Caenorhabditis elegans: one gene and its partner. The protein of the gene in region 1 interacts with the protein of each later gene in a pairwise test. Each region holds a gene or a part of one and is shown in the gene's direction. Other genes may lie near its edges. The genes, in order: pph-4.1 and dnc-2.

Evidence for each region.
Region 2: the proteins of pph-4.1 (region 1) and dnc-2 interact in a two-hybrid assay, tested with the Caenorhabditis elegans proteins (2 studies listed by BioGRID).

What each region holds. Positions count from the first base shown.
Region 1 is NC_003281.10:12,345,292-12,353,530, reverse strand, and holds pph-4.1 (Serine/threonine-protein phosphatase 4 catalytic subunit 1), read left to right. Parts: upstream 1-2,194; 5' UTR 2,195-2,200; coding exon 2,201-2,301; intron 2,302-2,356; coding exon 2,357-2,480; intron 2,481-2,538; coding exon 2,539-2,664; intron 2,665-2,739; coding exon 2,740-3,018; intron 3,019-4,909; coding exon 4,910-5,151; intron 5,152-7,836; coding exon 7,837-7,966; 3' UTR 7,967-8,208; downstream 8,209-8,239. Other genes in the region: FAM172 family protein homolog Y75B8A.31, read right to left, coding at 1,202-1,321, 1,375-1,638, 1,707-1,883. UniProt on the Caenorhabditis elegans protein: Protein phosphatase which plays an essential role in meiosis and in early embryonic mitosis.
Region 2 is NC_003281.10:5,923,776-5,927,484, reverse strand, and holds dnc-2 (putative dynactin subunit 2), read left to right. Parts: upstream 1-1,730; 5' UTR 1,731-1,753; coding exon 1,754-1,861; intron 1,862-1,918; coding exon 1,919-1,985; intron 1,986-2,030; coding exon 2,031-2,445; intron 2,446-2,495; coding exon 2,496-2,823; intron 2,824-2,879; coding exon 2,880-2,957; 3' UTR 2,958-3,087; downstream 3,088-3,709. Other genes in the region: zmp-1 (Matrix metalloproteinase-A), read left to right, coding at 105-459; bcl-7 (BCL7-like protein), read right to left, coding at 690-973, 1,196-1,286, 1,334-1,399; C28H8.2 (uncharacterized protein), read right to left, coding at 3,088-3,141, 3,187-3,555.

The sequences.
Region 1 (8,239 bases):
TAACTATTTTCCGCTGTTTTTAAATTTGAAAACAGATTTCAGGACTTTTTTCGGCAAAAAAAAAGCGAAAAAACGGGGTTTTTAAGGCAAAATTCCATGTTTTCCTCAATTTTGGGTCTCGAAGCGACAAATTTTTGTTGAATACAAAAAAGTGTGCGCCTTTAAAGAGTACTGTAGTTTTAAATTTTAGTTTCTGTGAAATTTATCGATTTTTCGTAGTTTTTCTAAATAAAAATATTTTTTAATCGAAAAAATTTAAAAAAAATCGCGAAAACTAAATTAAAAAAATTTTTTTCGATTTTTTTTCAAAAGATTAAAAAATATTTTTATTTAGAAAAACTACGAAAACTCGATAAATTTCACAGAAACAAAAATTAGAAATTACAGTAATCTTTAAAGGCGCATACCTTTTTTTCTTATTCCTTGAACACAATTTTGTCGTGGCGAGACCTGAAACAGGGGTTTTTGCCTTAAAAAATCGCGAAAATGTCGATTTTTCGCCAAAAAAAGCTGAAAATAGTTTAAAATCCCATTTTTATTCAAAAAATTCAGAAAAACAGGGATTTTCGCCTTAAAAATCCGGAAATATGTCGTTTTTTCGCTTTTTTTGCCAAAAAAAAAGCTGAAAATATATTAAAATTGCATTTTCCTTTAAAAAAATCAGAAAAACAGGGATTTTTGCCTTAAAAAATCGGAGAAAAGTCGTTTTTTCGCTCTTTTTTAGCCAAAAAAAAGCTGAAAACAGTTTAAATCCCATTTTTATTCAAAAATTCAAAAAAACAGGGTTTTTTTGCCTTAAAAAATCAAAAAAAAAGTCGATTTTTTCACTCTTTTTTGCCAAAAAAAAAGTGCTGAAAACAGTTTAAAATCGCATTTTTATCCAAAAACTCAGAAAAACAGGGTTTTATGGCTTAAAAATTCGGAAAAAGTCAATTTTTTCGTTCATTTTTAGCCAAAAAAAAGCTGAAAACAGTTTAAAATCGCATTTTTATTCAAAAATTCAGAAAAACAGGGATTTTCGCCTTAAAAATCCGGAAATATGTCGTTTTTTCGCTCTTTTTTGCCAAAAAAAAAGCTGAAAATAGATTAAAATTGCATTTTCCTTTAAAAAATTCAGAAAAACAGGGATTTTCGCCTTGAAAAATCGGAAAAACATCGATTTTTTCGCTTTTTTTTGCCAAAAAAGTGCTGAAAATCCCACCACACTGGCTGTGTCGTAACCACCACGACTGTGAGCCACCACGTAGATGCTCTTAGCATTCGATGGCTCAATACACGCTATCCAGACAGTTTCAGCGTGCTCGACAGGTGTGCGGGAGTACTGAAAATCGATTTTTCAGCGAATTTTTCGAAATTTCCCGGGTTTTTTCACACCTTCAAATCCTGATCTTTACTTTCATTCAAATTAGTGTTCATCACCACAACACCCCATCCATTTTCAATAGCTCTTTCGATATACGGAATCTGAGTTCCACACTCCAAATTATCATTGATAATGAGTCTACGAGCCCATTGTCCGGCTCTGACGACACCGCTTCCGTGGATCAATACTAGAAGATTTGCAGCTTTTTTGAAATTTTTCGACACAAAAATGAAGCTTAGATCCTCATCCTCGTCGGTTTTTCCTGGAAGTTTTAGCTGAAAAAAAATTTTTTTTTTTGATTTTTAAATTTTTTTTTCCATTTTTTAAAAATTTCTTAATTTACCGCCTTTCTCTTCAGCCCACAACGTGTCTCCAGAAGCTCATAAACTTCCAGATCAACTGCTTCTCCCAGTTCTTCATAATCCTCCTGTGTAGTGAATTTGAAGGGTTTTTTGTCCTTCTCCGTTTTCAGCACGCCTTTTTCGTCGAAAAAGTACCCGAGTTTCGCCAAACTTGACATTGTTCACTGAAATTTATTTGAATTATTCGCAAAAAAACTGGTTAGAACAGAGAAAATTTCCGAAAAAACAATTTTTAAAATTAAAAAAAAAAAAAAATTTCCTGGCCGCGACCGAGGTTTCTCTCGTCCACACGGCGCAATCGCGCTCTGTTGGCAATCTGGCACAATGCCAATATTACACTGAATTTATATTTTTGCACGAAAAACTCTGGATTTAAAGTCGATTTCGCCTGTTTTCATTGGTTTTTTTCGTTTTTTCGTTTTTAAATTAAATATTAATTCAAAAAATCGATTTACAACGTATTTTACAGCTTTTAATGGCTCTGGCGTGCACCGACTCTGCAAATTCCACATTTTCACGTGTCGACTCACCGACTTCCGGCCCATCGGACCAGCTAACAACTCATGACTTGGATCGGTAGCAGTTTTGATATAAAAACAATAAAATATCAACAAAAAAAAAATATTTTCAGCCACATAGAAAAGCTGATGAGATGTGAGCTCATCGCGGAGCAAGATGTCAAAACACTTTGCGCAAAAGCTCGTGAAATCCTAGCGGAAGAGGGCAACGTCCAGGTTATCGATTCTCCGGTGACGGTTGGTTGGATAAAATCGATTTTTAAATCAAAATTTCCATTTTAAATTCTATTTCCAGATCTGCGGAGACATCCACGGCCAGTTCTACGATTTAATGGAGCTCTTCAAAGTCGGCGGACCAGTGCCGAACACCAACTATTTGTTCCTCGGAGATTTCGTGGATCGAGGCTTCTATTCTGTGGAGGTGCCCCCGCTTTTTTGCAATTTTCCTGGCGAAAAAATTGCAAAAAAAACTCCCAAAAAATCGATATTTTTCCAGACATTCCTTCTACTTCTCGCACTGAAAGCTCGCTATCCGGATCGAATGATGTTGATCCGTGGAAATCACGAAAGTCGCCAGATTACTCAAGTCTACGGGTTCTATGATGAATGCCTTCGGAAATATGGAAATGCGTCTGTTTGGAAACATTGTACCGAAGTTTTCGACTACTTATCACTTGCCGCTGTAATTGATGGGAAGGTTTTCTGTGTTCATGGTGGATTATCCCCGTCGATTAGTACTATGGATCAGATTCGTGTTATTGATCGGAAGCAGGAGGTAAAACGCAAAAAATATGCTGTTTTTAATGGAATTTTGCTTTGAATTTCGGTTAAAATTCGGTGAATTACAATTTTTTAAATTTCCGGCATTTTGCCGAATTTGCCGGAAAGTTTTAAAATTTTCGAAAATGAAAATAACCGACAAATCTGCAAATTGCCGGAATTTAAAAATTTCCGGCAAATCAGCAAACCGGCAAATTTGCCCAAAATGAAAATAACCGGCAAATCGACAAATTGCCGGAATTAAAAATTTCTGGCAAATCGACAAACTGCCGTAATGAAACTTTCTGGCAAATCGACAAATTGCCGAAAATGAAAATAACCGGCAAATCGACAAATTGCCGGAATTAAAATTTTCTGGCAAATCGGCAAATGTTCGAATTAAAAAATTTGTGGCAAATTGGCGAAATTGAAAATTTCCGGCAAATCGAAAAATTGCCGGAATTAAAAAATTCCGGCAAATCGGCAAATTGCCGTAATTAAAAATTTCTGGCAAATCGGAAAATTGCCATGTTTAAAAATTTTCGGCAAATCGGAAAATTGCCGAAATTGAAAATTTCCGGCAATTCGTCAAATTGCCGGAATTTAAAAATTTCCGGCAAGTCGGAAATTTGCCGAATTCGCCGGAAAAACGGCAAATTGCCGGAATTAAAAATTTCCGGCAAATCGGCAAATTGCTGGAATTGATAATTTCCGGCAAATCGGCAAATTGCTGGAATTGATAATTTCCGGCAAATCGGCAAATTGCCGGAATTTAAAAATTTCCGGCAAGTCGGAAATTTGCCGAATTCGCCGGAAAAACGGCAAATTGCCGGAATTAAAAATTTCCGGCAAATCGACAAACTGCCGAAAATGAAAATTTCTGGCAAATCGGCAAATTGCTGGAATTGATAATTTCCGGCAAATTTCCGGAATTAAGATTTTCTGGCAAATCGGCAATTTGTCGATCATGAAAATAACCGTCAAATCGACAAATTTCCGGAATTAAAATTTTCTGGCAAATCGGCAAATTGCCGAAAATGAAAATAACCAGAAAATCGGCAAATTTCCGAAAATTTCCGTTTAAAAAAAAATTTCCGTTTTTTTCATTAAAAATTTTTTTTTTTAATTTTCAGACTTTTTTCTAATTTTTTCTCATCAAAATCGACCAATTTAATTTTTATTTCATTTATTTCGATTTTTTCCCCGAAAAATACTAAAAAATTCAAAAAATAGTCTCAAAATCAGAAAAAAACCACAAAAACGCGATTTTTGTCTTCAACCAATCAGCGATTCGCTCCGCCCACTTTTCAACCAATCAGATGGAGTGGGCGGAGTTTGAGTTCTCATTTTGGAGGGAATTCAAAATTGAAAAATCTTTTTATTTTTCTGAATTTGATACTATTTCGGATATTTTGAAGCGAAATTTCAAAATTTACGTTAAATTTTTCGAGAAATCACTTTTTTCCAGCGGGGCGAAGGTTTTGCAAGTCTGCGGTTTGCTATATTTCGATTTACGGAGAATTTTGTAATACACACGGACAAGCGTCGATTAATTTTTTAATTTTTTCTAATAGTAAATTTACAGTTTTGGGCCATTTTTGCCAATTTTTTTTGGTGTTCAACATTAAAAATTGGGTCCATATATATATATTTTTTGAATAGTGTTTACAAAAAAAATTACAGAACTGAAGAACAATTCGAAAAAAAAAAAAAAACGCTTATCCACGTGTAGCACAAACTCCACCGTAAATCGACAGAAATCAAACCGCGCCGCAGGTTTGCAAAACCACCGTTCCGCCTCAAAAATTGAAAAAAAAATCAATTTTTTAATCAAATTTTGTTCGTTTTGATAGAAAAACGTATAAATTTGTGCTAAAAAAGCGAAAAAAAATTCTGAAAATTTCCAGGTTCCCCACGACGGTCCAATGTGTGATCTACTGTGGTCGGACCCCGAAGAAGGAAATGTTGGATGGGGCCTAAGTCCACGCGGAGCCGGTTATCTATTCGGAGCGGACGCGTCGAAAACGTTTTGCGAAACGAACGGAGTCGATTTGATCTGTAGAGCTCATCAATTGGTTATGGAAGGATATAAATGGCATTTCAACGAGAAAGTGCTCACTGTTTGGTCGGCGCCCAACTATTGTTATCGGTACGGGATGGATTTGGAAAAAAAACGGAAATTTTTTTTTCGTGAAAAAGACGAAAAATTAAAATTTTTGGTCACTTTTTTATCATTTAAAGTATAATTTTTAGGAAAAAATACAATTTTTTTCTGAAAATTTGAATTTTCCCGCTAAAATTTGTTTCCAAAAAATTTAAATTTTCCCGCCAAAATTTGATTCCAAAAAAATTCAAATTTTCCGGCCAAAATTTGTTTCCAAAAAATTTGAATTTTCCCGCCAAAATTTGTTTCCAAAAAATTTGAATTTTCCCGCCAAAATTTGTTTCCAAAAAATTTGAATTTTCCGGCCAAAATTTGTTTCCAAAAAATTTGAATTTTCCCGTCAAAATATGTTTTTAAAAGAAAATTTAAATTTTCCCGCCAAAATTTGTTTCCAGAAAATTTGAATTTTCCCGCCAAAATTTGTTTCCAAAAAATTTAAATTTTCCCGCCAAAATTTGTTTCCAAAAAATTTGAATTTTCCCGCCAAAATTTGTTTCCAAAAAATTTGAATTTTCCGGCCAAAATTTGTTTCCAAAAAATTTGAATTTTCCCGTCAAAATATGTTTTTAAAAGAAAATTTAAATTTTCCCGCCAAAATTTGTTTCCAGAAAATTTGAATTTTCCCGCCAAAATTTGTTTCCAGAAAATTTAAATTTTCCCGCCAAAATTTGTTTCCAGAAAATTTGAATTTTCCCGCCAAAATTTGATTCCAGAAAATTTGAATTTTCCCGCCAAAATTTGTTTCCAAAAAATTTGAATTTTCCCGCCAAAATTTGTTTCCAAAAAATTTGAATTTTCCCGCCAAAATTTGTTTCCAAAAAATTTGAATTTTCCCGCCAAAATTTGTTTCCAAAAAATTTGAATTTTCCCGCCAAAATTTGTTTCCAAAAAAATTTACACTTCCCGCCAAAATTTGTTTCCAAAAAATTTGAATTTTCCCGTCAAAATATGTTTTTAAAAGAAAATTTAAATTTTCCCGCCAAAATTTGTTTCCAGAAAATTTGAATTTTCCCGCCAAAATTTGTTTCCAAAAAATTTGAATTTTCCCGCCAAAATTTGTTTCCAAAAAATTTGAATTTTCCCGTCAAAATATGTTTTTAAAAGAAAATTTAAATTTTCCCGCCAAAATTTGTTTCCAAAAAATTCAAATTTTCCCGCCAAAATTTGTTTCCAAAAAATTTGAATTTTCCGGCCAAAATTTGTTTCCAAAAAATTTGAATTTTCCCGTCAAAATATGTTTTTAAAAGAAAATTTAAATTTTCCCGCCAAAATTTGTTTCCAGAAAATTTGAATTTTCCCGCCAAAATTTGTTTCCAAAAAATTTGAATTTTCCCGTCAAAATATGTTTTTAAAAGAAAATTTAAATTTTCCCGCCAAAATTTGTTTCCAAAAAATTTAAATTTTCCCGCCAAAATTTGTTTCCAGAAAATTTGAATTTTCCCGCCAAAATTTGTTTCCAAAAAATTTGAATTTTCCCGCCAAAATTTGTTTCCAAAAAATTTGAATTTTCCCGTCAAAATATGTTTTTAAAAGAAAATTTAAATTTTCCCGCCAAAATTTGTTTCCAGAAAATTTGAATTTTCCCGCCAAAATTTGATTCCAGAAAATTTGAATTTTCCCGCCAAAATTTGTTTCCAGAAAATTTGAATTTTCCCGCCAAAATTTGTTTCCAAAAAATTTGAATTTTCCCGCCAAAATTTGTTTCCAAAAAATTTGAATTTTCCCGTCAAAATATGTTTTTAAAAGAAAATTTAAATTTTCCCGCCAAAATTTGTTTCCAAAAAATTCAAATTTTCCGGCCAAAATTTGTTTCCAAAAAATTTGAATTTTCCCGCCAAAATTTGTTTCCAAAAAATTTGAATTTTCCGGCCAAAATTTGTTTCCAAAAAATTTGAATTTTCCCGTCAAAATATGTTTTTAAAAGAAAATTTAAATTTTCCCGCCAAAATTTGTTTCCAGAAAATTTGAATTTTCCCGCCAAAATTTGATTCCAGAAAATTTGAATTTTCCCGCCAAAATTTGTTTCCAAAAAATTTGAATTTTCCCGCCAAAATTTGTTTCCAAAAAATTTGAATTTTCCCGCCAAAATTTGTTTCCAAAAAATTTGAATTTTCCCGCCAAAATTTGTTTCCAAAAAAATTTAAACTTCCCGCCAAAATTTGTTTCCAAAAAATTTGAATTTTCCCGTCAAAATATGTTTTTAAAAGAAAATTTAAATTTTCCCGCCAAAATTTGTTTCCAGAAAATTTGAATTTTCCCGCCAAAATTTGATTCCAGAAAATTTGAATTTTCCCGCCAAAATTTGTTTCCAAAAAATTTGAATTTTCCCGCCAAACTTTGTTCCCAAAAAATTTGAATTTTCCCGCCAAAATTTGTTTCCAAAAAATTTAAATTTTCCCGCCAAAATTTGTTTCCAGAAAATTTAAAATTTTCCCGCCAAAATCACGTAGTGCCAGAGTGTCCCATTTCGGTTTGATCTACAAAAATGCGGGAGAAGTGACGCACTGATTTTGCATGATTAAGAACGTGTTGACGTCACATTTTTTGGACAAAAAAATCCCGCATTTTTTGTAGATCAAACCCAAAAATTTGTTTCAAAAGAAAAATTGAATTTCCCGGAAAACTTGAGCTTTTTTTGCAGTAAAAAAAAACTTAATGAAAATTTTCCAGATGCGGCAACGTGGCGGCAATTCTCGAGCTCGACGAGAATCTCAACAAGGAATTCACAATTTTCGAAGCTGCTCCACAAGAAAATCGCGGAGCACCGGCCAAAAAACCGCACGCCGACTATTTCCTCTAATTTTTTCTCGAAATTTTCTCGAAATTTCTTTCTCGCCCAAAAATTCCGAAGAATCTCCCCCTTTTATATCGCCGAAACACCATTTTTTTCCTTTTTTTTTTGCTCCCACAAAAATATTTCAATATTTAATTATTATTTTCCACACACACACACACATTTTTCTGTAAATGTCCACCCCCCTCCAAATTTTACGGATTTATTTTTTTTTCGACAAAAAAAAGTATTAAAATTTATTTCATGCTATTCATTTTTAAAACCGATTTGATTTGAAAC
Region 2 (3,709 bases), 6.4 Mb from region 1:
GACGGTACATAATACATTTTGAGAAACTACTCTGAGGGTACGGTAGCTGAAAAGGTTCGTTCAGGACCACAACTTAATAAAATCAAATATAATTTCCATTTCAGTCCGCCTGCTGTATACATTTGGAAAGGATCTCGATATTGGAAATTAGACGAGAAAATGTATCATCGAAGAGTTGATGAAAGGTATCCAAAAGATACTGATCTGAATTGGGCGAGAGTTCCAAAAGGAGTACATTCTGCCTTCACTTATGAAAAAGAAATTCATCTTCTACGTGGAAATCAAGTTTTTCGAATGAATTCATCCCGATCTGTATTTGATATTGCTGATGGATATCCCCAACCTTTACAATCTTTTTTCGGATTCTGCCCTCGCAATGAGAAGCTTGTTCTGAATTCTTCTTCTTCACATTTTTCTTTGATCTATGCAACAATTACTATTTTGATACTCATCTTTTAAGATTTAAATCTCTCAATGGCAGATTCACTTGTAAAAACAGCACTGAAATGGGTTTTATTTAAAGTTTTAACTTGTTATTTTAACTGGTGAATACAAAAAATTATTAAAAATAAATGTGATGAAACATGAAAATTTTTGAATTAATGAGATAAAGTTCGGAATGAATCAGGATTATATGATACAACATGAAATCAAAATGAGTACAGATTAGAGATCATTAGATAAAGATTTTATGGTTGTTTTGATGTCATTTCAGCGTCGCGCATCGAACTGAAATCCGTTGAACCAGTGGCTCCACCTTGATAGTTTTGTGGCTCGAAAGTTTGATTGGAGTCACTATCAAAGTGATCGCCAGTGGAAAAATTGGAATCTTCGTTGATATCGAATTGTGGTGGTGGTTGGGTAACGCTGGTGGAATCCTGGGAATTCTCAGCAGATGGGACTTGATTGCTCTCCTCATCCACTTCTTTGACTTCCTTGATCTTTGGAGGAGCCATTATGTTTTGAGCGCTCACTGAAAAAGTTGTATTGAAAGTTTGGTTTTTTTTTTGAGAAATTCAAAACTTTTATATAGCAGAATATGTTATTAATTCATAATGCAGAGTCATTGAATTGTATCAAAAATATAAGTGTGAAGTTTTTTTTTTAATAATTACTATTTTAAAAAAGTATTTCATATAAATTTATATATAAATAGTTTCTAAATACCGAAATACGTGTTAAAATAAAAAATTACCCGGAACCCATTTGTAGATCCGAATATTTGTGTCCTTGATAAGAACTAACTTCTTTTCCCACCGACGAACTTTTTCCAATGAGTTGATAACCTGAAAATCTTAATATCAGTTTAGTTTTGGAAAAGTTGATTGTTTACCTTTCGGAGTTCATCTTTTGAGCGATTTCTTGTTTCAGCGCGATGAGATCTATTTGCTGAGTACATCTGAAACTTAAAAATTTAATAAATTTACAGAAAAATAAATAAAAAGAACGAAATACAATAAAACTGTTTAAATTCGAACAATCGAACGTTTTTGCCAAAACTGAACTCTGTCGCCTCTAATCTCTAATACGTGCCGGTAGAGCGCAGTAACTCATTGTTGTGTGTAGTCCTCTCGGACAATCTAATTTACTTGTTTCGCAATCAATTCCACGGCCATTTTGATGTTTCTAGCACGATTTATTACTTTAACCTATCATACATTTTGTTTATTCATTTTTCTAAATTTTTGCCGTTTGATCCTAAATATTTTAAATCAAATTCTGTTTTCTAGAAACTCTCAAATCTTGCGTCAAAATGTCATCTATTGGAAAAGAAGATATCTACGAGTCTGACGGAGCTGCAAGTCAAGTTCAAAAAAGTGAACCTGAAAATGACAATCCAACTCATCCGGATATCGAACTGGTTTGTATTTAATTAATTTAAATAATATAAATATTTAGTGAATTCTGATTTTTACAGATTTCGGTTGACGTTGACGAAGCTCTCAAAAAGTACAAAAACCGGGTACTGAACTTGACTTCAAGCGGTAATTTTAAAATAATATTACTTATCATCTTTTTTTTAAATTTAGATTTTTCTGACTCGATTGCTAAAAAGCGGCGACACGCATTTGGAAACAATCAATACGTATTGGAAGTTACTGGTGCAGGATTTTCGGGAACCGAGACTGCAGCCGAAAAACTGAATCGCATTTTGTACGAAGTCGCCGATCTGAATGAACAAATTCGTGCTGATGAAAATCTTAAAACGGATTTGCTCAACGCTGAGGTTCTTGAGAATCTAGAGAAAGAAGTGAAAACGTTGCAAGTGGCTCAGTCAAATGGAAAAACTGCACGAGTTGAGCATGATGTTGAGTTACCAAATGTTCGCACTGACTCGAAAGTGGCAACTCTTGAAAATAGGTTGAGAAGAATCGAACAAGTTATTGGAAGTTCGGTTATTCCATCAGCTCCCGTACTTGACACCATTGAAGATCTCAAACTCAGGTGAGATATCTTAAATTTAAAAAAATAAAAACGTATGAAAAATGTTTGAGATGCGAAACGCTTAATCATTCGTATGTCTCCGGTCTTGAACAACGTTTGAATATGATGCTTACCAAACTTGAAAAAATCGACGAGACACGCGCCAACAATGATATCGACGAGAATCTTGACAAGAAAGTTGATGAAATTCTGGAGCTTATGCAAAAATGGGATGTCGCTTGCTCATCTCTTCCAAGCAATGTTAATAAGGTTAAAGCATTGAACCGTCTTCACGAACAAGTTCAACACTTTGCCGGTGGACTATCACATTTGAAAACTATCAGAGAAAAACTCGAAAAGGAAGTCGCGCAAGGAAGAGAAGCGATTATCGAGTATGAGGTGTGTTTTTTAATTGTTTCGAGGAATATAAACAAATTAAATTATTGAAATTACAGTCCCAAGGAAAGCAAGAAATCGGGTCAGTGGTTGAAAAGCTGAAGCTTCTCGAGGCAAAAGTGGCAGATTTGAAGTGATTTTATCGACCTTTCTAGAGAAACAATTCATAATTTATTGTGTACGGACAATGCAACATTAACTAATCTGTTCGATATATTTATGTGCTTTATTTTTGCTTTCCATATTTCCGAATGAACCAATCTCTATTCAGCAATTGAAGGCCATACTCAGATAACGAACTCCCCATCCGACATTCTCGTCCTGAAATTTTCATATTTCTAAGTCAGATTTTTCGCGAAAACTCACATTAACCGCTCTGATAATCATATGAAAATGATCTTCGAATCCAAACCAAGATTGTGATGTAACATGGAATTCAACCGTCATATGAGAAGAATCTTTAGTCATTATTGCAAAGATAATACGAATTTCAGGATTGTAATGAGTTCTTGTATATCTATCGAAATATGATTTAAATCTGGCAAAATCCAATTCCTCTTGAATATGACAATCAGTTCCTTTTACTTGATCATCATAATAATTGAAATGCTCAATCATTTCTGTTTTATTTCGGAACATTCGTCGAAAAGTTCCCATGAAATATTGCAAGAAGTGAAAAGCATTTTTAGTTCTCACCATCTTCGGGAACATTGATCGTGGGTCACTGATAAAGTTCTGAAATATTTCGGTTGGTCCCGACATGAAAACTCAAGTCTTGATAAATTTCCACAATCTGCTAAATAAAGAATTCGCTAATTTGAGCAAAAAAAAAGTCATTTTATCGAAAAGTGTCCTAGAGCGCCAGCGTCTATGATGGTATACGGTATAT